4 linked regions of the Caenorhabditis elegans genome follow. The protein of the gene in region 1 interacts with the protein of each later gene in a pairwise test. Each region holds a gene or a part of one and is shown in the gene's direction. Other genes may lie near its edges.

The links.
Region 2: the proteins of kin-4 (region 1) and C34F6.1 interact in a two-hybrid assay, tested with the Caenorhabditis elegans proteins (one large-scale study listed by BioGRID).
Region 3: the proteins of kin-4 (region 1) and F09E5.7 interact in a two-hybrid assay, tested with the Caenorhabditis elegans proteins (one large-scale study listed by BioGRID).
Region 4: the proteins of kin-4 (region 1) and acly-1 interact in a two-hybrid assay, tested with the Caenorhabditis elegans proteins (one large-scale study listed by BioGRID).

Annotation. Positions count from the first base shown.
Region 1 is NC_003282.8:11,423,745-11,428,763, forward strand, and holds the start of kin-4 (non-specific serine/threonine protein kinase), read left to right. Parts: upstream 1-1,997; coding exon 1,998-2,056; intron 2,057-2,389; exon of another isoform or gene 2,390-2,410; intron 2,411-5,019. Other genes in the region: F22B3.8 (Tyrosine-protein kinase), read right to left, coding at 1-145, 196-389, 537-760, 808-953, 1,136-1,141.
Region 2 is NC_003284.9:11,191,961-11,198,753, reverse strand, and holds C34F6.1 (BPTI/Kunitz inhibitor domain-containing protein), read left to right. Parts: upstream 1-1,912; 5' UTR 1,913-1,919; coding exon 1,920-1,970; intron 1,971-2,015; coding exon 2,016-2,148; intron 2,149-2,191; coding exon 2,192-2,394; intron 2,395-2,445; coding exon 2,446-2,599; exon of another isoform or gene 2,600-2,739; intron 2,740-2,850; coding exon 2,851-3,183; intron 3,184-3,244; coding exon 3,245-3,412; intron 3,413-3,492; coding exon 3,493-3,660; intron 3,661-3,713; coding exon 3,714-4,496; intron 4,497-4,545; coding exon 4,546-4,857; intron 4,858-4,924; coding exon 4,925-5,245; intron 5,246-5,297; coding exon 5,298-5,602; intron 5,603-5,721; coding exon 5,722-5,922; 3' UTR 5,923-6,269; downstream 6,270-6,793.
Region 3 is NC_003280.10:5,350,513-5,354,266, forward strand, and holds F09E5.7 (PI31_Prot_N domain-containing protein), read left to right. Parts: upstream 1-1,574; 5' UTR 1,575-1,596; coding exon 1,597-1,662; intron 1,663-1,709; coding exon 1,710-1,872; intron 1,873-1,917; coding exon 1,918-2,401; intron 2,402-2,482; coding exon 2,483-2,705; 3' UTR 2,706-3,247; downstream 3,248-3,754. Other genes in the region: F09E5.8 (Pyridoxal phosphate homeostasis protein), read left to right, coding at 164-249, 301-400, 453-533, 587-667, 713-897, 1,081-1,151, 1,292-1,422.
Region 4 is NC_003284.9:1,477,992-1,484,628, forward strand, and holds acly-1 (putative ATP-citrate synthase), read left to right. Parts: upstream 1-1,550; 5' UTR 1,551-1,580; coding exon 1,581-1,619; intron 1,620-1,742; coding exon 1,743-2,144; intron 2,145-2,271; coding exon 2,272-2,729; intron 2,730-2,775; coding exon 2,776-3,244; intron 3,245-3,608; coding exon 3,609-4,073; intron 4,074-4,132; coding exon 4,133-4,936; intron 4,937-4,982; coding exon 4,983-5,282; intron 5,283-5,712; coding exon 5,713-6,096; downstream 6,097-6,637. UniProt on the Caenorhabditis elegans protein: Catalyzes the cleavage of citrate into oxaloacetate and acetyl-CoA, the latter serving as common substrate in multiple biochemical reactions in protein, carbohydrate and lipid metabolism.

The DNA of each region.
Region 1 (5,019 bases):
GATCCACACTAAACGGTTGTGCCCATCGTCCCAAGTAGACTATTCCAAAGGCACCTTCTCCCAACTTCTTTGGAGTCATATCAATTCCTTCTGCCCGGAGCTCCCAGTCTTGTAGCACGATAGGGCGTTTCAAGAATACACGTGTCTGAAAATTAAAGACCGTCTGGAAATGGCTAGAAAAGCACTCAAACATACATTGTGATAGCAAATCGGGTTGACCTTATAGTAGTTGATAAGCTCATCAATAGTCGGAAACTTGAATCGCCGCTCAATATAAAACGAGGTCCATTTGCCGGCGGTTTCTTCAATAAACAAATGCATATCCATGTTCTCTTTCTTCACATCCTCCAGATCCCCATAGAAACTTCGTGTGGTGCCGGTTTTTTGTGCTGAATAGGGAACATAATTGTAAAATCTAGAGTTTTTCAACGAACAGTGAGGGCAAGTTCCCCGCAACAGCTTGACAACTTATGAGAAGTTCATTGAATAAGTTTCCAAGCTGCTAGGAAGTTAAAAAAACAAAAAATAAAACAAACTGATATTGACGGACAGAACAAGAATGACACGAGTCAGTGGAATCGGATCAGTGGCACTTTTGTCCGGAGTCGTCGGCTTCTTCGCATTCTTCTCTGGTTGATGCGACAATCTCAGGAGAAAGTCTCCGTTCGTCTTCAACAAGATCAGTTGTAGCTCTTGGAGCACAAAACCATGGAAAAATTGGTATCTCAATAAATAATTGTCAATCATTTCATTAGTTACTCTGGAAATTAAAAAGTGTTTTGGGATATTTGGGATAAAGTTGCTCACCTTCCAACGCTTTTAGTTTTTTCTACATTTTGATACATTGAGTCGTCCGGAAAATTGATCATAACTGAGTTTGAAATACTGCTGCCATCTGTTGTCCTTTCAGTCTTTTCGGTCGTTTCACTCTTACATTCTTTTTTCTCAGATTTCTGAAAATTGAAAATTACATTTTACTATACCAGGAATACCGAATTTGTCTTTTTTTTAAATAATCATACTACAGGCGACCCATTGCAGGAAACTTATTCTAGAATTTCTGATGTCTTATTTTATTTTCAGGTAGACGCGTAGCCAGGTACAGGCAGGCTCGAACTCCCGCACTCCAACTCACCTTCATTGCAAAAATTTTACGACGATTTTGAGTAAAATTATATTGGGAAATAAATAAGTTTGCCTCGTCGTATTTGTTTTTTTTTTCAATTTTTTTCACGGGAGTTTATGTATTTAAACATACAGACAGTGATACAACTCAAATTCAGAAAACTTCCAGGAATCAAACTTCATCTGAAGGATTAACGGTTAAACCAAATTTTCCTGACAACAAAGTGCAAAGTCACTGCTCGACAGTTAGGAACAACTTCCTACTCCTGCCATAATTTAGCATCTTCCTATCAAACCTTTCATCAGCGGCAAGCAGGCAGGCGAGCACGTCTGAAAAATTCATGTCTACTATCGAACCCCTTAGAAAATATATTCATTTTTTGCAATTCACAGGATGTCAAAATATTGAAAATTGTTGCTTATAGAGTGGAAAAAAGGAGATTATTATAATAGCTGGTCTCAAATGTCAACGGCAGAAGTATTTAACTAGATTAATATTTTCAAGTTTCATGTTTTCGGATATGTCACCATTCACCATACACTTTACCATTATCTAAATCTAGAAATGTTACAGTAATCCATGAGCACACAAAATCAGAAAACGAAGAGCAACCTTGTGATGAGCTGGAAAAAGGGGATTAGTAGAGGTGAATGTTGAGAACAGGAAAGAAAGAGAGAGTGAGAGGATCAGAAATACTTTCAATTTATTTATAATTTTATTCACATCACAAATCTCTCTCCACTCAACTGCCCATAGTGATTGATAAGCTCCGGCGTTTCGCCTACTCAACGTTTCCCTCCAAAAACTCCAATCTAACTTTTTATTTTTGTTTCTAGCCAATCTTTTTTTTTTTCTATAGTTTCAGAATCAAATGCTCAATTTTGGAGTCGTTATGTATCAAAAGAAGAGCCCAAGTAATGCAACAGAAAAGTGAGTTCTGAGTGTATCTTACCAAACCGAAAAAAGTAAAAATGCAACCTATAAAACAAGATATTATCTCTCTCATTGCAATAGAAATCTCCCCCTAAAAAAAATCTCTTTGCACATGTCTCTGTCAGTTCTTTTTATGTTTTGCGTGCATAGAATTGCCGATTGTCGGATGATTTTCTTCTTCGTTCGATGAAAGCGGAAATAATAGAGAACAGCGTTTTATTGTGGTTTTTTGTTTTTTCGTGTCAAAGTTTCTGTAAAAGTCATGATGGTAGAATTTGTTCTAACTGTTTTATTCTTTTATTTTTAACTTTCAATTTAATTATAAATCAATTGCATATTATTGTCCATGTAATTAAGCTTTTAAGTTATCAAGAATAAGTTGAAAATTTTATTTGCAAATATTTTTTATGTCGAATTTCGATGCAGATAATGTTTTTTTTTTCCAAAACCGCTAAAATTATTTCAATATTCTTTATTTTTTTTCTATAGTTAAAGAAAAATTTTTTTAGAAAATTAACAAAAAAACTAAAAAATTACCAAAAGTTGTTCATTTTGATGAGAAAAAACATGAAATGTTTTCTCTGAAAAAAAAGGAAAATGGTCAAAATGTTAATATATTTTTGCAAAAATCGAATTGTTTTCGAAATATCTGAAAAACTAAAATTTTTCGGAAACGGTTTTTCTATAATACGCTTTGTATGCCAGGATACATTAAATAGAGAAAAATTGAGACAAAGTCCAATTACTGAAAGTGTAACATTTTTCTTTAAATTATGATCTAGGATAGTTTGTTAATGAAGCGATATTGCTTCTTGTATGCATACCTATGTATGTATGTCATTTCCGAAGTATTATAATATGTATCCTAATCAAGAACATGGATCATAAACATCTTTATTTTTATTATTTTATCTTTATTTTTCAACTCGATGTAAATTAAAAATCTTCACTAGTAGCCAGTAGCTCGACTTTGCAAATGCGTTCGTTTTAGATTTCGTCTTGTTTCCGATTGGCCCGGTTATTACGTAAGCACCTAAATTTTAATGTTATTGCATCTCATCACTACTTAAAAATGAGTCAAGTTTTTGAAATAGAAATACGAGCTTCATTGTGAAGATCACGATATTCTTTTTATTCGAATAAATCTGGTTGCATAGCTGTAGTACGTCAACGGACGAACCTGGATGAAATAGTGAATAAATATATTTTCTATAAAAAGGAGAAAATAAAAGAAATGTTATAGTTGACAGTTAATCCTTTGCATGGTGAATCTGTTGGCGGATGCCAGTTAATCTCCCTGTTTATCCGTATGCTCATATTTTTAAGTCGTCTTCAGTCGTTGTCGTTCTAAAAAATTTGGCCATCGATTGGCTCAGCTTCGTCTTTTTTGCCTCCTTTCACTTCTTCTTTTCTTGTCCGATTTCAGAAAAATTAAGATAATAAATTGCTTCAAATTTTGAAGTGCAATACACTTTCGCAGTCTAAATGCCTCTTGTTTTCTAAAAGTTATGCCAATTATTTATTCTTTAAAAATATTGGACTTACTGCCATGGAAGTCATATAGTTTCGCTACAAAAGTAGTACCTGTTCTGTGGTTTGGGTATTTTTCGAATTAAAATTTTTCCAAACTCAACTTTTTTGTGCAATTCTAAATGTATTTTTATGAGTATTCTTTTTTCTCCCTCTCCTATGTACATCCGCCAGCAGATGCTTGTTGAATTCTTATCGAAAGCTCTTTATCAGAACTTATTTTGAAAAAAATGTCAAGCATTCTCCGAGCATAGGTTTAAAATATTTCTGAAACACAGGTACATTTAACCAATCTCTCAGTTGAAAAGGTTACAATTTTCAGTATCAAATAAAAAAGTATAACACAATAATCTTTTGCACTTGACTCGCGTCATTTATCTGATCAACATGGCTTCATGCTCGGAGAATGTTCTTCTTTCTGCCAAAATGACTCACTGGAAATACTTTGAACATTATCAATGAAATTCAAAATAAAAATCAAAGAATAAGACTTTAAACTTTGAAAATTAGGACTTAAAAATTGTTGTAGAAATGCACCTAGCTCTTCAAATTTTGTTTGCCACTTTTTTACTGAAAATTGATGGCAACATACTTGAATTCTTTGATTTTTTCTCTACTAAAGGAAAACAAAAATCTTTGAAACTTTAAAATCAATGGTTTGTGTTAACTGAATTTGGTTCACCGATAGAACGATTGTTGTAAATCAAGGAGGTTAAAAAATTGAAATATCGATTAGTCATTGATTTTGAAAATTCAAAGCTTCCAGACAGAATGCCTCTTTGAAATACCCTTTGAACTATCAAGCTTCCTCCTCTTCCTCCTCTAAAAATAACGTGAATAAATTGTTCGAAGAGTATGGAATCATCTCATTTCCGATTCATATTCGTTTCCGCTATCAAACAATTTAACAATTTAATATGATATTCAGAGATGAATAAAATGCATTTTCTGCTCGAATGCCTTTTTTAGCTCGAATAAGTTTCTTCTTGCGTATCAGTTGGCAGGTGCAATGCTCAATTTTAATTTTAAGAAAAGTTTACATCAGCAAGCCCTACTTTCTCATTCTCTCCTTTTTAATTTTGTTTCTTTTGTTGTCTTGAAAGAAATTCAAACCCTTAAAGTATAAAATTGAATCAATTGGGTGTTCTTCTAATTGTCTCGTTCATTCAAATATCACTATGCATTAGGGAATGTCATATCAAATTGAATGATGAAAGTAGATTAGAAAGAGAAAAGAGAACATCCATTTAAGTATTCAAGTTAGCTTTTTGATTTTTCTAGATTTTTATGAACTAAAAATTGAGAATATTTACACTTGGCTGAGAACCACGGCGCGAGGAGATCGTTGAAGAGGCTGAAAGAAGCGACATCGCCCAAATATGAGGAGGAATGGCGTCTTCCGTTGAATTTTAGGAATTAGAATTTTTATG
Region 2 (6,793 bases), on another chromosome or scaffold:
CGGTAATCCTGAACGATATATGAAACCAGCAAGTAAAAGTGTAAACTGGCGCGGGCGCGAAGTAAAAAAACCAAACGAAAGAGTATGCGAACTTTAGGTTCGCAGTGTGAACAGAGAAGCGTGCAGAAAAATGAAATTGACTTGAGGACACAAAAAACGCCAGAGAACCCCCTTTTTGATGATGATCGGTGATAATAGCTGTGGATAGTTCCTGCCACTACGGCTACTTTCGATTACTTGGAAATGCCAAAAAGGAAGTGGGACAAGAACTTAGTTCTTCGAGAGTGATGTTTCGATGTTTGAGAAATTACTGTTTCAGTGTTCACTTTTTGTGTTACACGTATAAAACACAGACAAAAATCAGTAAAGATTATAAAAAATAAGTATTTAATTACATTATTTCTTTTTTCATATATTGGCTTAGTCTTAAAAAATATTTATTACGGGTGGTTTTTAAAGAAAATTTTGAATTGCTTTTTAGATTTCACTTGGAATATTTGAAAACAGCGATCCACAAATTGTAGACCTTATACTCCAAAATACTTGTTTTAAAGTATATTTTGAAGAAGAACGGTTCGAGAAGCCTTTCAGTTCCAAATATGTGTACGGCTAATACTTTACTACACACTCCAGAGTTACAATACAATTTCAACATTCAACATTAATTCCAGACTGGTTATTAACAACGTTGACATTCAAACACTATTCTGAATACATATTTTCCAACGTGTACCACACTTGATCACGATAACTTCTTATCAATTTTTTAAAACTTAAGTGATGACGAAGTCCAAACAAAGCAGTTAGTATAAGTGTCACGCAGAGCAAAATAGTTGTCATTTAGGTCAATGTTTATCCAGAGGGGGAGAGCACAACTCTTTTTTCGGCGTACGTCTTGAGTTAGCTGTCTGTATGACGACGAGAAACAGCGGAATGTAAAGAGAAATAGGTAAGCACCGGGGCGCGACAATGTCCACTACATGTCAAAAACGGACGTGGACAGGGAGAAGCTTTTGGGAGCGGGCGACTTTACGAGAATTATCAAACTTTGAACTGGACAGACGGGAAGTACATAGAGATTGTGCAATGAATTTAAGTTTATTGCGCGGGTGGTAATGATAAAAATTGTTTTTTTTTCTATTAATGTAGCTGTATACTAAATTTCGAAAGTTTTTGCAATTCAAACAAAAAATGGAACACTAATTTTCGAACGGTTTTGTTATTATGTATAATAGTTTGCAATCAGAAATACTAAAGATGTATGTATAATTGCATCTAAATTAGTGATTATGGTGTCAAAATGACTCCTGCTTTAAAATAGGGACGCAACAATTGATACACTTAATAAATTAAAAATTGGTATTGAATAAAAACAAATTCAATTTTCAGGTTAAAAACAAATTTGATTGCATGAACTTATTTTGCAAAGTGGCACTACAACGTTTTTTGAAATAATAAAATTATGCGATGTTTTTTGTTGGAGGACACATAGACTATAATCCAAATAATAAGAGCAGTTTGAGCTATTAAAATTGAACCCCCAATTTCAAAAACATGATTATATCATTTTTGTTCTAGGTTTTTACCAGCAGTGTTTCGAAATCCCTACTTTTGTTTGTTTGAGCTTTTTACCTGACCTTTAAGTGTTAAGAACTCCATTTTCCTCTTTCTATTTTCATTTTCCCTTTCACAAAACACGGTACCTTGTACCTGCGAGCCATTTTTTAGATCAAGCTCCCGCCCCGCGCGCCGTCAGCTCCTCCCCACAAGGAGTTCGACCACCCTGTTTACATTTCCGGCCAGCGGTCACTCATTTCACGAAGTTGACCTACACTCGGATCACCAAGCACTTTTGGCTTCCGATTTGCTTCTCATATCCACTAGATTCATTTTAAATTTACTCATTTTACAGCGAAGCCATGAGACTGCTGCTCTTCATAGTGGCCTTGGTGCCGTTGGTTTTATCACAGGTAAAATAATAAGAAAGATGAATTACAACAACCACATTTTTCTAGTATTATATGCAACAACAGATGCGACCTGTTATGCAACCACAACAACAGAGAACAATGTATTATCCAGTAAGAACTAATTGTCAAAACAGATGTAATCAACAGACTAGATACAGGTGGAATGTCAGACCAACAAGTAAGTCGACATAGTTTCGTTTTTTGTCATATTCATATAACAGATATCCGGCCAAATGTTCAAGTACAAATTAGAACTATTCCGTCTGCACCAGGTCCCATTAGGCCAGTGGTTAATCCAGCTCCACCACTTCCAACACTGCCAACTCCGCCACCAAGCACTCTTCCCCCAATCACTTACCCTAGACCAACTGTTGGAGCTCCTATCACAACACAACAAGTTCTAATCACTGAAACTACTACTCAGGTAAGCAGAACAATAGTTAGTAATTCTTTATCTCCATTCTCTATTTTTTAGCCACCAACTACAACTACCACTCTTGAAACTCCAGCTCCAGAATCCACGCCGTCTATGGCTCCATCACATACAGACCCCACTCCAGCACCGGAGACTACTGTTGCACCAACAACAAAGTACTTGCGTCCGGAGCGCAAACAAACATCAAAAGCCAGTAAGTTTTTTGCCTGCAACCAAACCACCCACCCAACCCAGCATTTTTTGTAATGTTTGTCTGCGTGATCGAACAGTTCAACCAAACTGACCAAGCCGCCGACAATTTGAACGCGTTTCATTGCGTTTCAAAGCAACCACTTAAAAGATAATTATGTGTCAATAATAAACAAACAAATAGATATATAGTAGTAGTTGCGACTCCCGTTATATCAAAATGCATCTTCACACCTTTCCCTCCACCGTTTGCAGAATACTTCAACCCATGCGCCGTCGGCCAGCCACTTCTCAACGAATTCTCCACTCCAATCTCATGCAACTACTTGAACCAACCAAACGGAGGATGCCCAGAAGATCACTATTGTCACACAGGAGCATCTTTCTCCACTACCGCTTGTTGCCCATTAGTTTCTTCGGAAGACAGATGTGCTCAGAGAAGGGACACTGGAGAGGGAGATGAACTTGTAGCTAGATGGTATTTTGATAATCAGGCCAAAGAATGTAGACGTTTCTTATACAAGGGGATCCGTGGAAACGCTAATAATTTTGTCACCAAAGCTCAATGTGTGGATGCATGTGAAACAGGTTTAGATTTTACTTCAGTACTTAACAATATCACATAATATTATCACTCTTGATTTTTTAGAAACTGTGACTGATGAGGCAAACCCATGCAAATTCAGTAACGCTGCTAAATATAAGAATGGATCTCGTATTATTTGCGGACCGAACGATGATTCAATGTGCCCGAACGGCTATTACTGTCATATTGGCGAGAACCCGGAACTTACTGCTTGCTGTGAGAACAGTGGACGTGAGCATTTTTTTTTGTCAAACGTTTACTCTATTTGTTCTCTACCTCTCGCCAAGGCTCTATTTATTTTAATTTTACAGTAACCGATCCGTGCTTACTCTCGATAAACGTCGGACAGGGTAAAGCCCTCCTCAAGAGATTCTACTATAACACTTTCTCAAAGCGATGCACAGAGTTCATGTACAAGGGTACCAAGGGCAATGAGAACAACTTCTTGTCATATACACAATGCCAAGAAAAATGTCAAAGTAGGAACTTTCAACAAATACTTCGTTATTTAAGATTTTACATTGTATTTTAGAGTGGGATAACCCATGCCCTGTCCCAGTTAATTATGCTCAAAAGAAGGAATGTGGAATGGAAAACTCAAATGGAACTGAATGCAGTGCCGGACATTGGTGCCATATTGGAGCTTCCAAAGAATCTTCAGTATGCTGTCCAGGAGCTTCCCCAGATCCATGCTCTCTTCCAATGTTTTCCGGAGAAGGAACCGCGAATCTCACAAGATGGTACGCTGACCCAGCAGATAAGTCATGCAATAGACAGTGCAAGTCTTTTGCTTACAATGGAGCTAAAGGAAACCAGAACAACTTCCTCACAAAACAACAATGTGAATCTAAGTGTAAAAGAGAATGCAAAAATCCATGTGGATCAGGAACAATGCTTATGACACCTACCAACGAGCCACGCACATGCAGCCCAAGTTCGCCATGCCCAAGCTCGCACTGGTGCCACGTCGGAATAACTCCAGACACAACTGTGTGCTGCTCTGCTGTTCAGAATACGTGTGAACTCACAATGACGAAGGGTTACGGAAACTCTCATCTGACAAGATGGCACTTTGACAAAAACCTCAACAAATGTGTCAAGTTCATTTACAGCGGAGAAGGAGGAAATCAGAATATGTTCCTAACACAGGAAGACTGCTTGTCAGTTTGTCCAGTATTTGAGAATCCATGCGGCAATGGAAAACCGCTCTTGATTGGCACTAAACCAAAGTTGTGCTCTCCTGATGAGAGATGTCCATCCACCCATTTCTGTCACATTGGAGTTGAAGGATCGGAGAATTATTGTTGTCCAAAACGTATGTTTGTTCTAAAAATTTTAACTCTATCTAAAATATATATTCATAGATGGTGACCCGTGCCAACAAGCATTGGCTACTGGAACAGGAGGATTTTCAATTACAAGATACTACTATGACAAAGAAACTCGCCGATGCCGCGATTTCAGCTACGAAGGACAGAAGGGAAATGCCAACAACTTTTTGACTCTTGAAGATTGCGGTCTTGTTTGTCCAGTACTTCCAAACCCTTGCAGCTTGGGAGAACCACTGCTTAGTTTGCAAAAAGAACCAGTCATTTGCGGCGGAGAAGACACATGTCCAAACGGATATTATTGTCATGTTGGAGGTGCCCCCGAGACAACCAACTGTTGCCCTGGAAGTGAGTAGACTACTAGAGAGATATCATTTAGTTCACGCAACTGTTCAATTTTGCATTCTATTTCCAGCCCGTCGTCCATGTGATCTCCCATTAGAGGTTGGTCAAGGAGTTGAGAAACTCGAGCGTTGGTTCTTTGATGGAGGAATTCAAATGTGTCGTCCATTTGTTTACAAGGGAATGAAAGGAAACTCAAACAACTTCCTGACCAAACAGTCGTGCCGACAGTCTTGCAAGGAAATGAATCCGTGCGGTTATGGTGATCCGTTGGTTGACACCACCGGAGAAAGAATGTTGTGTACTGGTGGACAGAGAGTTAACAGCTGCCCACAAAATTCGTACTGTCACGTTGGATCTAGTGCTCTCACTACGCTGTGCTGCCCTAAGAGAAGTATGCGTGAATTCCATTTATTATTAGACACTTATTTTATTATTGAATTCAGAAATCGACCCGTGTGATCAAGCCGTAGAGGAAGGAACAGGATCAGAAGACTTGCCAAGATGGTTCTTCGATCGCAAACAAAACAGATGTGCTCCATTTACATACGGAGGAGTTGCTGGAAACGAAAACAACTTCATTAGTCAAAATACTTGTATGGAAGCATGTCCAGAATACAGAAATTATTGTCCGCATGGAATTCCATTGATTGAGGGATCAACAGTAACCTCGTGCGGTATTGACAAGGGATGTCCGGAAGGATTTATTTGCCACATGTCTTCTGAGTTCAATGTTTCCATTTGTTGCCAGGTAAGCTTTTCCAGAGTGAAAAGTTTGAAAAAGAGTGAAACAGGTTGAGAACAAATACGGATCAAACGGCACTACACGCTTATCATGGAGAAAGTTATCATTTATTTTTTTATTTTCAGGACCCAATGGATTTCTGCCTCTCAGCTCGCGACTCGGGACCATGCAATAACTTTGAGAAGCGATATGGTTATGATGCGAACACAGATACTTGTGTTGAATATCAATATGGAGGGTGTGAAGGAACATTGAACAACTTCCATTCTCTGCAAAGATGTACTGAAATCTGCTGTAAAGAATACAAGAGAAGACATAGATTGTAAATGTAATTTGTTTTCAAATAACTTTTCTCAATCTTCAATTGTTTTTCACTCTTTTTACCGGTAATTGTCGCTATTTCATTTTAACAAACAACTAAATTAACTCCCTTGAAAATCACCAAAAAGAGTTCTTTGATTGGATCTCCTTGTTTTTTTTTGTAATTGTCTCTCTCATTATTAAATATGCTTTCATTTTTTTGTTTTGTTCCATTCTTACCTTCTCTGAGTCGTACCAAGCTCTGTTTGCTCAGCGCCATCAAAATTGACCACTACCATCCATTTTTATAACAAAGATTTTTATACATTCATTGTAATATTTATTCAGTGTAATTGAATAAACATTTCACCTTAGCCATCTTTCATTCGACCTCTGTTCACCAACTGAACCTGATTAATCAAGTCAGCTGTTTAGTTCTGAAAAAATCACGAAGGGATCAATAATCCCACTTTTTGATCTTCAAATTTCAGATTCCCGATATTCGGAAAAAAAATCATATCAATTTTCTTCCCAGTTTTCAATTTCGTTGTTCAGGCTTCTCCATTTTCTCAAGCCTGTCTTCTCAAATTACAGAGATGCCCTTTCCATTCAGACACGCTTTTGCCGTGATTTTTGATCTAGTTTCCTCTGACACTTTCTTCTTTCTTTCAAATAATCAAAGGTAATTGACCTGGTAGACAGAATCCAAGGAATCTCATTTCATTCTCCTGTCTCATTGCCACCACCATCGCCACACACAAAACTTTCTCGATAATTGCCGTGAAGTTTGGCCAATCGATGAGTCATACTCCTCACACACACACTTATTTCTTTTTACTCTCCACTAAATACCAAGAAGCAAAACATTTATCGTTCACTTTCTGATTTTTTTAACGT
Region 3 (3,754 bases), on another chromosome or scaffold:
GTGCGGCGGGCTTGCGAAAAGGCGCGCCGCACATTGCCCTACTGAAAGCGTTCCTTACGAAAAAATCCCCTTACGAAAACGTACCCCCTCTAGAAATTTCTTATTTTGTTGTTTCCTTCCTTTTCCGTGTTTAGAACTAAATAATATAGTTTTCAGGTAGAAAATGTCTATAGAAATTGTACAAAAAAGTCTATTCAACATTATTGAAGCCGTTGCCGACGCCGTTACTGCTTCGCAAGCCACAAAAAGGTTGGTAAACCGGAAATTATTGCGAAACTAAATTAATAATGAATTTTTCAGATGTCGACTTGTTGCTGTCAGTAAAACAAAGTCTGCTGATTTAATAGAGGCATGTTATTCTCAAAATCAGCGTCATTTTGGAGAGAATTACGTCCAAGAAGTGAGAGAAAAATCATCAACAAAACTTTTGAAAATGATTCCTTATTGTTCAGCTTGAAGAAAAATCTGATGTTTTGGCGTCAAAATGTTTAGATATTCGTTGGCATTTTATCGGACAAGTGCAATCAAATAAAGTTAGTTCTGATGGAAAATTTACCTTATTTATTAATCATTTAAAAATTTTTAGATTGGAAAAATTTGCAATTCTCCTGGACTTTGGTGTGTTGAAACAGTGGAGACTGAGAAACATGCTCGGATTTTCGACAAGGTGTGTTTAGTGACTATTAATCTATTTTAATTAAATATCTTGAAGGAATGGTCAAAACACGGAGCCAATTTGTCACCACTACGAGTTCTCGTGCAAGTAAATACATCCGGAGAAGATAATAAAGGAGGAATCGAGATTGGAGAAGCACCGAAACTTGCGGAATTCATTCGAAAAGAATGCCAAAACTTGAAATTTGATGGATTCATGACTATCGGATCGTTTGACAACAGGTATATATTTATTTATTGTTACGACTATCCTACTAAAAAGTTGTTCAGTGGCAGGTGAAATGGAAATAGGTGTAAGAAATGATGAAAATGAACGTTTTATATTAATTATTACTTGTAAATAATGATCAAGCTAACAAGCGATAAATTAAATATTTACCATAAAATAAAAGTTCAATTTTACAGCCACGCAAGCGGAGAAAATCCGGATTTCGAGAAGCTCTTCAAAGTCCGACAAACATGGGCAGAACAAACAGGTGAACAGATTTTCTAGAAAAATCAAAGCGAGAACCGTCAGTGGTTGACGTCAAAAAATAAAACTTATGCTTCAAGAAATGTTTTGAAATGTTGGATCCACAAAGTTTCTAAACAAAAACTTGAAAAGTATTGATTTCAGGTGAATCTGCGGATTCAGTAGAACTCTCAATGGGAATGTCCGATGATTTCCTTCAAGCAATTCATCAAGGTGCAACAAGTGTTCGAGTGGGAAGCAAGCTGTTCGGAGCCAGAGAATACAAAAATAAATAGATTTACATTCCATTTTTTAGTTTGTTATTTTTTTAGTATTTAAAGAAAATTCACTATTCAAATTCACTTTTTTTTTAATTACCAGATTCCAATTCAGTTGCTGTTACTGTTTAAATACCTTTCTTTTGAATTGAACTTTTCAGTTCCTTCAGCATTTTTTTCAGTCACAGAATAATGGATAATTTCCGATCGGAAATTCTCAAGGAAACTCGAGAATTAATGCTCAATGAGCAGCAACATGTAGGTTAATTCTTTACTTTTAAGCAAATTAAGCGTGATTCATTCAGGAGGAAAGCATGAAATCTTGGAACGGACCTGAAACGAAAGGATTTGAATTAAAATTCGGAGGCACCAAGCGAGGAGTTCCACAGAACTCTGGAGTAGTTGGTCAGGTTTTCATCAGTGAGGATGGAGGATTTGAAGCAATCATAACTGGATATGTCATAAAAAGTAAGTTTTGAAAATAAAATTGTCAGTTATAATTCGATTTTTCAGACAGTCTCCGTTCCATCGCAGCTTCTTTCACAGTAACTCCTTCGTCTTCTCTGAAATCTGATTTGTCGGAAGGTCTTCATCCACTCGTGCTTGCTATTGGATCAGCTCTTACTCTCAATCATATTTTGATGCTCGGCTCTCTGCGTGACAAAATTCTGAAAAACTTGACACCCAAGAGTGTTGCAAAACTCATTTTATCGAACAAGAAATCTCAGCAAATTCTTACATCTGATGCGGTCGATAACACATTCTGGAAGAAACGTTTAAACAATGATTTTGGAAATGAAACTGTACAAAATACGATCACCACCGGCCGAAAATTCTATGGAATGTATTGCCAGAAAGCAAATGAGTCGAGAACTACAGCGAGAAGAAATGAACCAGTTCGTAATGAAAATCCGCTTATGATCGGTGGACCACGTCATCCTCCTAGACATCCTGTTCATGACCCTTACGGGAATCGTTTTCCTGATCCGGATACTGAGTGAGTTTCCGATTTCTCATTGTCAAATTTAATTTCAATTTTTTTTCCTAAAGGTTGATGCATTCATCTCCGAAATTTCAGATACTACAATCCCCTCGGAGGTTTCTTGCCACCAGGTGTACCACGCGCCGGAAATCCAAACATTCCAGACCTGTTCCGTGGACCTGATCATCCGGATCTCAATCCACTGGGCCCATTAGGACAGCCACGTGGAGGAGGAAGTCACGGAAGACCATTCATGAGAGATCCCAATGGAAGATTCGGTGGAAACGGAGGTGGTGGTGGCTTCGACGGATACATCTGAAAACCATAATTGTTGTATTAAATGTGTATTTTATATTTATTTGAATGCTACTCCGTCAGCTCCATGAGCGTGTTAAAATTAGAAAAGTCTTGTATAGCTTGCAATATTAAAAATGCAAACTACGAAACCAAGATATCTATCAAAATCGGAAAATAGGTTAGAGGGGGTTTATATTTAATATGTATTGAGCATGCTACAAGAAACCAAACACACAAAAGCCTTATAAATTCCAGAAACTCTCACGTCTACATGACTATAAAAGCCTGTCTCAGAAAAGCCTGTCTCAGAAATTTTGTTCGGAAAACGTCCCGGTCAACTTTTTGTTGACAATGTTTTACCCTCTTCCCCCCCTCATACTTAGTCACCGGACTCTTGCGGGTCCAAATGATTATTTTATATCTATTTATTCATTCTTTTTTCCTTCACTTCACTGCTTTGTTGTAATTGTATCATTATGATTGTTGCCTGATGAATAAATATAAATAAATGAAAAAAAGTGAGTCCTGAATGTTTGATAGTACCCAATAAAATGTCAACCATAATTTTTTCAACTAATTCCTTTTCTAGGATGACACAAAACTTCAAGCAAAAAAAGTTGCCACCGCTGGGATTGAACTAGTGGACGTCTGCGTGAACGCCAAAATTTTGAGCCACTTGACCACGGAGGCTTTTTTAATTTATTGGTAGTAAGGACGATGATATTTTAATGACTCCAAATTTAGACGTCCAAAGCTGAAAATGCGCACTCACTACAGTACCCCAAAACACTCGATTTTAAAATATTGGTCAGTTTCAGCCGAAAATTGGTTTCTCAAAGTAAATTGGGATGTTTAGTTCGGAATTTGGATGGAACTCCTGCAGAAAAACGGATGTTTGCGAGTTTCAACGTGCCAATCGTGGGTTACTGTAGCTCCAAAACTAAGACTACAGTATCCCAAAACCCAATTTATTTTTCGAGGGGAACGGGTGCTGCTGAGTTAATTAGTAATAAATAATGTCAATAGTCGAATCATCAAAATGAGTAATAGGGTATTTAGAGTCTTGATTTA
Region 4 (6,637 bases), on another chromosome or scaffold:
GCCTTCTCCATTGATCACTGTCGTTCGGGTACATCCGTATCTCTCCAAATTTATTTTCCTTATCAGTCGTTATCAATTTATCTTCAGCATGTTGTGATAAGAATTCGAATCGCACCATATTTTCGGGTGAACCTCAGCGAGAAAAAAAGTGGGAACACCACGAGAAACGCACATGTTTTCGTTTTTGCACAAGTTTTTAGCGGCATTTTCTAAAATACGGTGATAAGGAGATAGGTGATACACGTGTAGCTAACAGACCATCACACCATCTTAAGACTGACCACTCCTATAAATGAGTGGTGGAAAGGTCAGGAGCCTAGAAAGTAACTGATAATATGTAGTTTTTTTTGTAAAACAGGAAAAGCTGATGCAATTTTAAACTAGACTTTTGCATTGAAAATAGATTAGTTCAGTTAGAAATTTACTAAAAAAATCCAAAATCCAAAATCGTTCAGAAATATTTATTTTCGATATTACTTAATAGAATTTTTTGCACAGATGAAAAATGTTTGCACTGACAAAAAATGTTTGCACTGACCATTATAATTTTTGCACTGACCATTTTTTTTTGCACTGACCACAATAATTTCCTTTGTTTATAACTTTTATAAGTGATCCTTTCCTAAGCCAATGCTTTAACCCGTCCACTTTCTTCAGAAACTTAAGAAAACTTTTTTCCCTACCCGCCAAGCCCCGAAAAATATTCTCCATTCTGAATATTCAATTGCTTCTCTTCCTTTTCTCCAACACAGAACGTCACGTTTTTCTTCTTTTTAGTCGTTTTTTTTCTTCCTTTTTTAAAAAAAGAAGCCCCCGCAACTCTTTTCTTTTTGGAAAAAACGGGGATAGATGGGATGGAGAAAACGGAGAGCGAGAAGCTAAAGTTGAATCCCAAAAGGTTTCTGATTTCCATGCCGCTTTTCTCGCATTTCTCCGTTTGGTCTTGTTTTCTTAGACTGAGAAAACAAAAATAAAATGGAAAATCACGTTTTCTAAGTTTTTTGTTGGAGCTCCTAGATCTAAGCATGAGCCTAATCCTAAGCCTAAACCTATGCCAAAGCCTTAGCCTCAGCCTGAGCCTAATCCTAAGCCTAAATCTATGCCTAAGCTTAACACCTAAGACAGACCCATTTTAAAAATCCAAACACAAAACTCTTCCAGTGTTTTGCACTTTCCCGAGCTAATTTTCTTCTATTTTTTTGAATTTTTTGGTTAGTGCCCTTTTGTGAATGCACTTTTGCTCAAAAATTGGTATAAAAGAGACATTCGTTTTCGAACACTTTGTGTAATTGTTTCAAAAATCTGATGCAAAAATATTAATAACTTAACATTGCGAAATCCGGAGAAGCTAGAGACGCAGACTTCGCGGAGCAGAAAAACGTGTTGTTTACTCAAATTTCCTTTGACCGCCTGCGTTCGCCTCAAAACACTTATTCCTCTCTTGTTTTTTTCTGAGTTCCTTTTTTCCTTCTTGTGGAATTTTTTTTAATTTTTTATGCTACGTGGCATACGCTTTTTAGTATTCCCTCCTAATTCTGAATTTCTTTCAGGTAACTCGTTCTCTTTGGAACAAGTGAACAATGTCGGCGAAGGCTGTGAGCGAGTTATCTGGAAAAGAAGTGAGTGCAAATTTCCAACTGGAAAAAAAAATTTTAATTTAAAAATAGAATGATCCCACCAAACTTCTTGCAATTTGACATTTTTAACAAATTCTCAACAAAACAATCTAAATTTTATTCCAGGTTCTCTACAAATACTTCGAGCCAAGCGGACTCCTCTCAGCTCCACATGCGTTTCACGTGAAGGCTGGCGAAAATTTTGACGAAATTGCAAACAAGTACGAGTGGCTCGCACGTGATAACAAGGGAGTCATCAAGCCCGACCAGTTGATCAAAAGACGTGGAAAGCTGGGTTTGGTCAAGATTGGAACACCACAAGAGTTGAAGGCATGGTTCGAGAAAACTGGTGACAGTTATGTGAGAGTTGGTCAAACCGAGGGACGGCTTCACACTTTTATTGTCGAGCCATTTTGTGCACACACTGAAAAGGATGAGATGTACATTGCGATCTACAGTGAGAGATTTCGTGACGTCATCATGTTCTATGAGCAAGGAGGTGTAGATATTGGAGATGTTGAGGAAAAGGTTAGTTTCCCGGAAATTTTTTTTTGGATTCAAATTGCTCCGCAGTTATCATTTTTGTAAAATAGGATCATTTTCATTTAAAAAAACTCAACCTTTGCAATTTCCCAATTACTGAGAGTATTTCCAGGCTCGCACTGTATCCGTCCCCGTCCAGCTCAACGAGAATGCCATGACCCCCTCGGATGAAGAGCTCACCACCCTCCTGGGCCCACTCAAGGACAGTGACATTGTCAGAAGATTTGTGGTAGAGCTCTACAAAGCCTACAAGGACCTACATTTCACGTATCTCGAGATTAATCCATTTGTCCTTTTGAACAACCAGATTCATGTTTTGGATTTGGCAGCTAGGCTTGATGAAACCGCCAATTTCTTGTGCGCAGACAAGTGGAAGAGCCGTCTGACACCATATGGAGGACCGAACCACGTGGAGTTCCCAGCTCCGTTTGGACGTGATTTGACGTCAGAGGAGCAGTACATTTCGGAGATGGATGCGAAGACGGGAGCTTCCTTGAAGCTGACGATTTTGAACAGAAAGGGAAGAGTTTGGACGATGGTGGCTGGTGGTGGAGCTTCAGTTGTGTTTACGTGAGTCTAAAATATAGAATTTAAAGTCTAGCCATATTTGTTTCAGCGACACTGTCTGTGACCTCGGTGGAGCATCAGAACTCGCCAACTACGGAGAATACTCTGGAGACCCGTCTGAATCGCAAACCTATGAATACGCAAAGACACTCCTCTCCGTGATGACCGAAGGTACTCCGAGACCTGATGGAAAAGTCCTCATCATCGGAGGATCCATCGCCAACTTCACAAATGTTGCTAAAACTTTTGGTGGAATCGTCAGAGCCTTTGAAACGTTTGTCTCAAAGCTCAAAGAGCACAAGGTGACAATTTTCGTGCGTCGCGGAGGCCCAAACTACCAGGAGGGACTCAGAAGAATCAAGGATGCTGCGACAAAGTTGGAGCTGCCAATTCATGTATTCGGACCTGAGACTCATATGACGGCGATTGTTGGAGCAGCGCTCGGAGTGAAGCCAATGCCAACAGTTCCGACAGCTCCACAGACTACCGGACAGTTTTTGTTGAGCCCTGAGAGAAATGTAGGTTTTTAGGACCAAAAACTAGCTACGTTGGTGCGAGGTGTCATGCTGTTTCATTACGGTTTGATCTGCAAAAAAGTGCGGGAATTTTTTTCCCGAAAAAATGGGACGTCAGCAAGCTTTGAGTCATGCGAATCCAGTTGAGAAGTATGCGTCTAAATTCCCGCCATTTTCGTAGATCTACGTAGATCAAATTGAAATGGGACACTTTGACACCACGTTTGTTGGTGCGAAGCGGGAAACATAGGCCAGCCACAAGCGGGCTCACTTAGGGCCTAGTGAAAAATCGAAAATGCCCTGTGCATTCAGATCTAGTGAACTTGAAGAATCCATTTTTCTACAATTCAAATCTATCATTTTTCAGACCGGAGGCACTGAGAGAGCTCCACCTTCGCCAGCAGCCAACGCCACTCCAACTGAGCACCCACTCACCACTGCCCAACAGAACAAACTGAAAAGCTTCCGTGGACTCTTCGAGGACGACACCAAGGCCATCATCTGGGGACAACAGGCTAAGGCTATTCAAGGAATGCTGGACTTTGACTATGTCTGCAGAAGAAGCTCCCCGTCGGTTGTCGCGTCCACCTACCCGTTCACTGGGGACAACAAGCAGAAGTACTACTTTGGGCAAAAGGAAATTCTCATTCCAGCCTATAAGTCGATGGCGAAGGCTTTTGCAACTCATCCGGATGCTTCTATCATGGTCACTTTTGCCTCGATGAGATCTGTATTTGAGACTGTTCTCGAGGCGCTCGAGTTCCCACAAATCAAGGTTATTGCGATCATTGCTGAAGGTGTCCCTGAGAATCAGACTAGAAAGCTGTTGAAGGTAAAGTTTTCCCCCACCGGAAATAGAAGTATTCTGATTCTAATTATGCTTGTTTTCAGATTGCTCATGACCGTGGAGTCACCCTTGTTGGGCCAGCCACCGTCGGAGGTATCAAGCCGGGATGCTTTAAGATTGGAAACACCGGTGGAATGATGGACAACATCCTTGCCTCAAAGCTCTACCGCCCTGGAAGTGTCGCCTATGTATCTCGCTCCGGAGGAATGTCCAATGAGCTTAACAATATCATTTCACAAAACACTAACGGAGTCTATGAAGGTATTGCAATTGGAGGTGACCGCTATCCGGGAAGCACGTACACTGATCACGTGATTCGCTATCAAAATGATGATCGTGTGAAGATGATTGTTCTTCTCGGTGAGGTCGGTGGAGTTGAAGAGTACAAAATTGTGGATCTCCTCAAGCAGAAGAAGGTGACAAAGCCATTGGTCGCATGGTGCATCGGAACCTGTGCAGATCACATCACATCGGAGGTTCAATTCGGTCACGCTGGAGCATCTGCAAATGCTCTCGGAGAAACCGCTGCCTGCAAAAATGCTGCTCTCCGTGCTTCAGGTGCCCTTGTCCCCGAGTCATTTGACGATCTTGGCAACAAAATCCGTCAGACGTACGACGAACTTGTCAGCCAACAAATCATCGTTCCACAGCCAGAAGTTCCACCTCCAGCGGTGCCGATGGATTACGCGTGGGCTCGTGAACTGGGACTCATTAGAAAACCAGCTTCCTTCATGACCTCAATTTGTGATGAGAGAGGAGAAGAGTTGAACTATGCGGGAGTACCGATTACAAAGGTTTTGGAGTCGGATATGGGAATCGGTGGAGTGTTGGGATTGTTGTGGTTCCAGGTGGGAATTGAGACCTGTTTTCAGCACCACTAATAATACATTTCAGAAGCGTCTCCCACCACATGCCAACAAATTTATCGAGATCTGCTTGATGCTCACCGCCGATCACGGACCAGCTGTGTCGGGAGCCCATAACACTATTGTGTGTGCTCGTGCTGGAAAAGATCTGATCTCTTCGCTCACGTCTGGTCTACTCACCATTGGTGATCGCTTCGGAGGTGCCCTCGATGGAGCCGCTCGTCAGTTCTCTGAGGCTTTTGATCAAGGATGGTCGGCGAATCAGTTTGTCAGCGAGATGAGAAAGAAGGGAAAGCATATTATGGGAATTGGACATCGTGTGAAGAGTGTAAGTGTAGAGACTAAAATGGTTTTGAGTACCCTTACAAATGTCTCACTGTAGTTACTGTAGTAGTGTACTACAGTGATTCATTTTAGAAACATAGTGTCCCATCTCGGTTTGATCTCTGAGAATTGCGGGAACAACGTGCCCAGGAAATTTTACCATTACGTGGTGTCAAGTTGTCTTGATCTACAAAACATGCGGAAAATTTGGGTCCAAAAAAAATGTGACGTCAGCACGTTTTTCTCAACTCCCGCATTTTTTGTAGATCTACGTAGATCAAACTAAAATGGGACACTCTGACGTGTACCATCAAACCGAGACGTGATACTCTGACACCCACCAAGTGTCAGTATTGTCAGAATTAGCGTAATCCAAGTCGGTACTCTAAATAGAACGTCTAATACCGAAGAGCTCAAATATTGTCAATTTCCAGATCAACAACCCTGACAAACGTGTGGAGATTCTGAAAAGATTTGCCATGGACAAGAAGGAGTTTGCCCAGGAGACGCCGTTGTTCGAGTATGCTCTTGAGGTCGAGAAGATCACGACCGCCAAAAAACCGAACCTCATTCTCAACGTGGACGGAGCGATTGCGATCTTATTCGTCGATATCCTTCGCCACAGTGGCATGTTCACCAAGCAGGAGGCCGAGGAGACAATCGAGATTGGATCGCTCAATGGGCTTTTCGTTTTGGGTAGATCTATTGGATTTATCGGTCACTACTTGGATCAGTCGCGTCTGAAGCAGGGATTGTACCGTCATCCATGGGATGATATTTCCTACATTATGCCGGAGAGCAACTTGGTAAAGTTTTGAATATAAATTGCTTAAGGTTTTACGCACTGACCAAGTTTCAAAAAAATTCATATCTAATTTCAATGATAATTATGAACAATTTTCAGTAAATTCCGCAACCCTTCAACATTCTCCTGGACCAAGCAACTGAAGCATTCCAATTTTTTCTAATCACTGTACCCTAAAAGTCCCCTATCTCCCCCCAACCAAGCAATAATTTCACAAGGTTTTTTTTCTCAACTTGTTCATTAATTTATTTCCCGTACTCTACTCTCAACTTTAATATTGCACCCCATGAGCTTTACTTTTTAGCTTACAAAAATGTATTTTTCTTGAATTTGATGATATTTATTCAGCTTAGACAATAAAGCATGGTATAGTATGGAATTTTCTGGAACTTAAGAAATGCTAAGCCAAAAAAATTTAGCACGGGCCTTTTTTTTTAGCTTTCTTTTGTGTTCAAAAACTTATATAACTAAAAAAAGGTTTAAAATACAGGTTTTTACCCAAAAATTTCGGCCGAAATATGTATTTTTAGATTGTTTTAATGAAAAAAAAACTC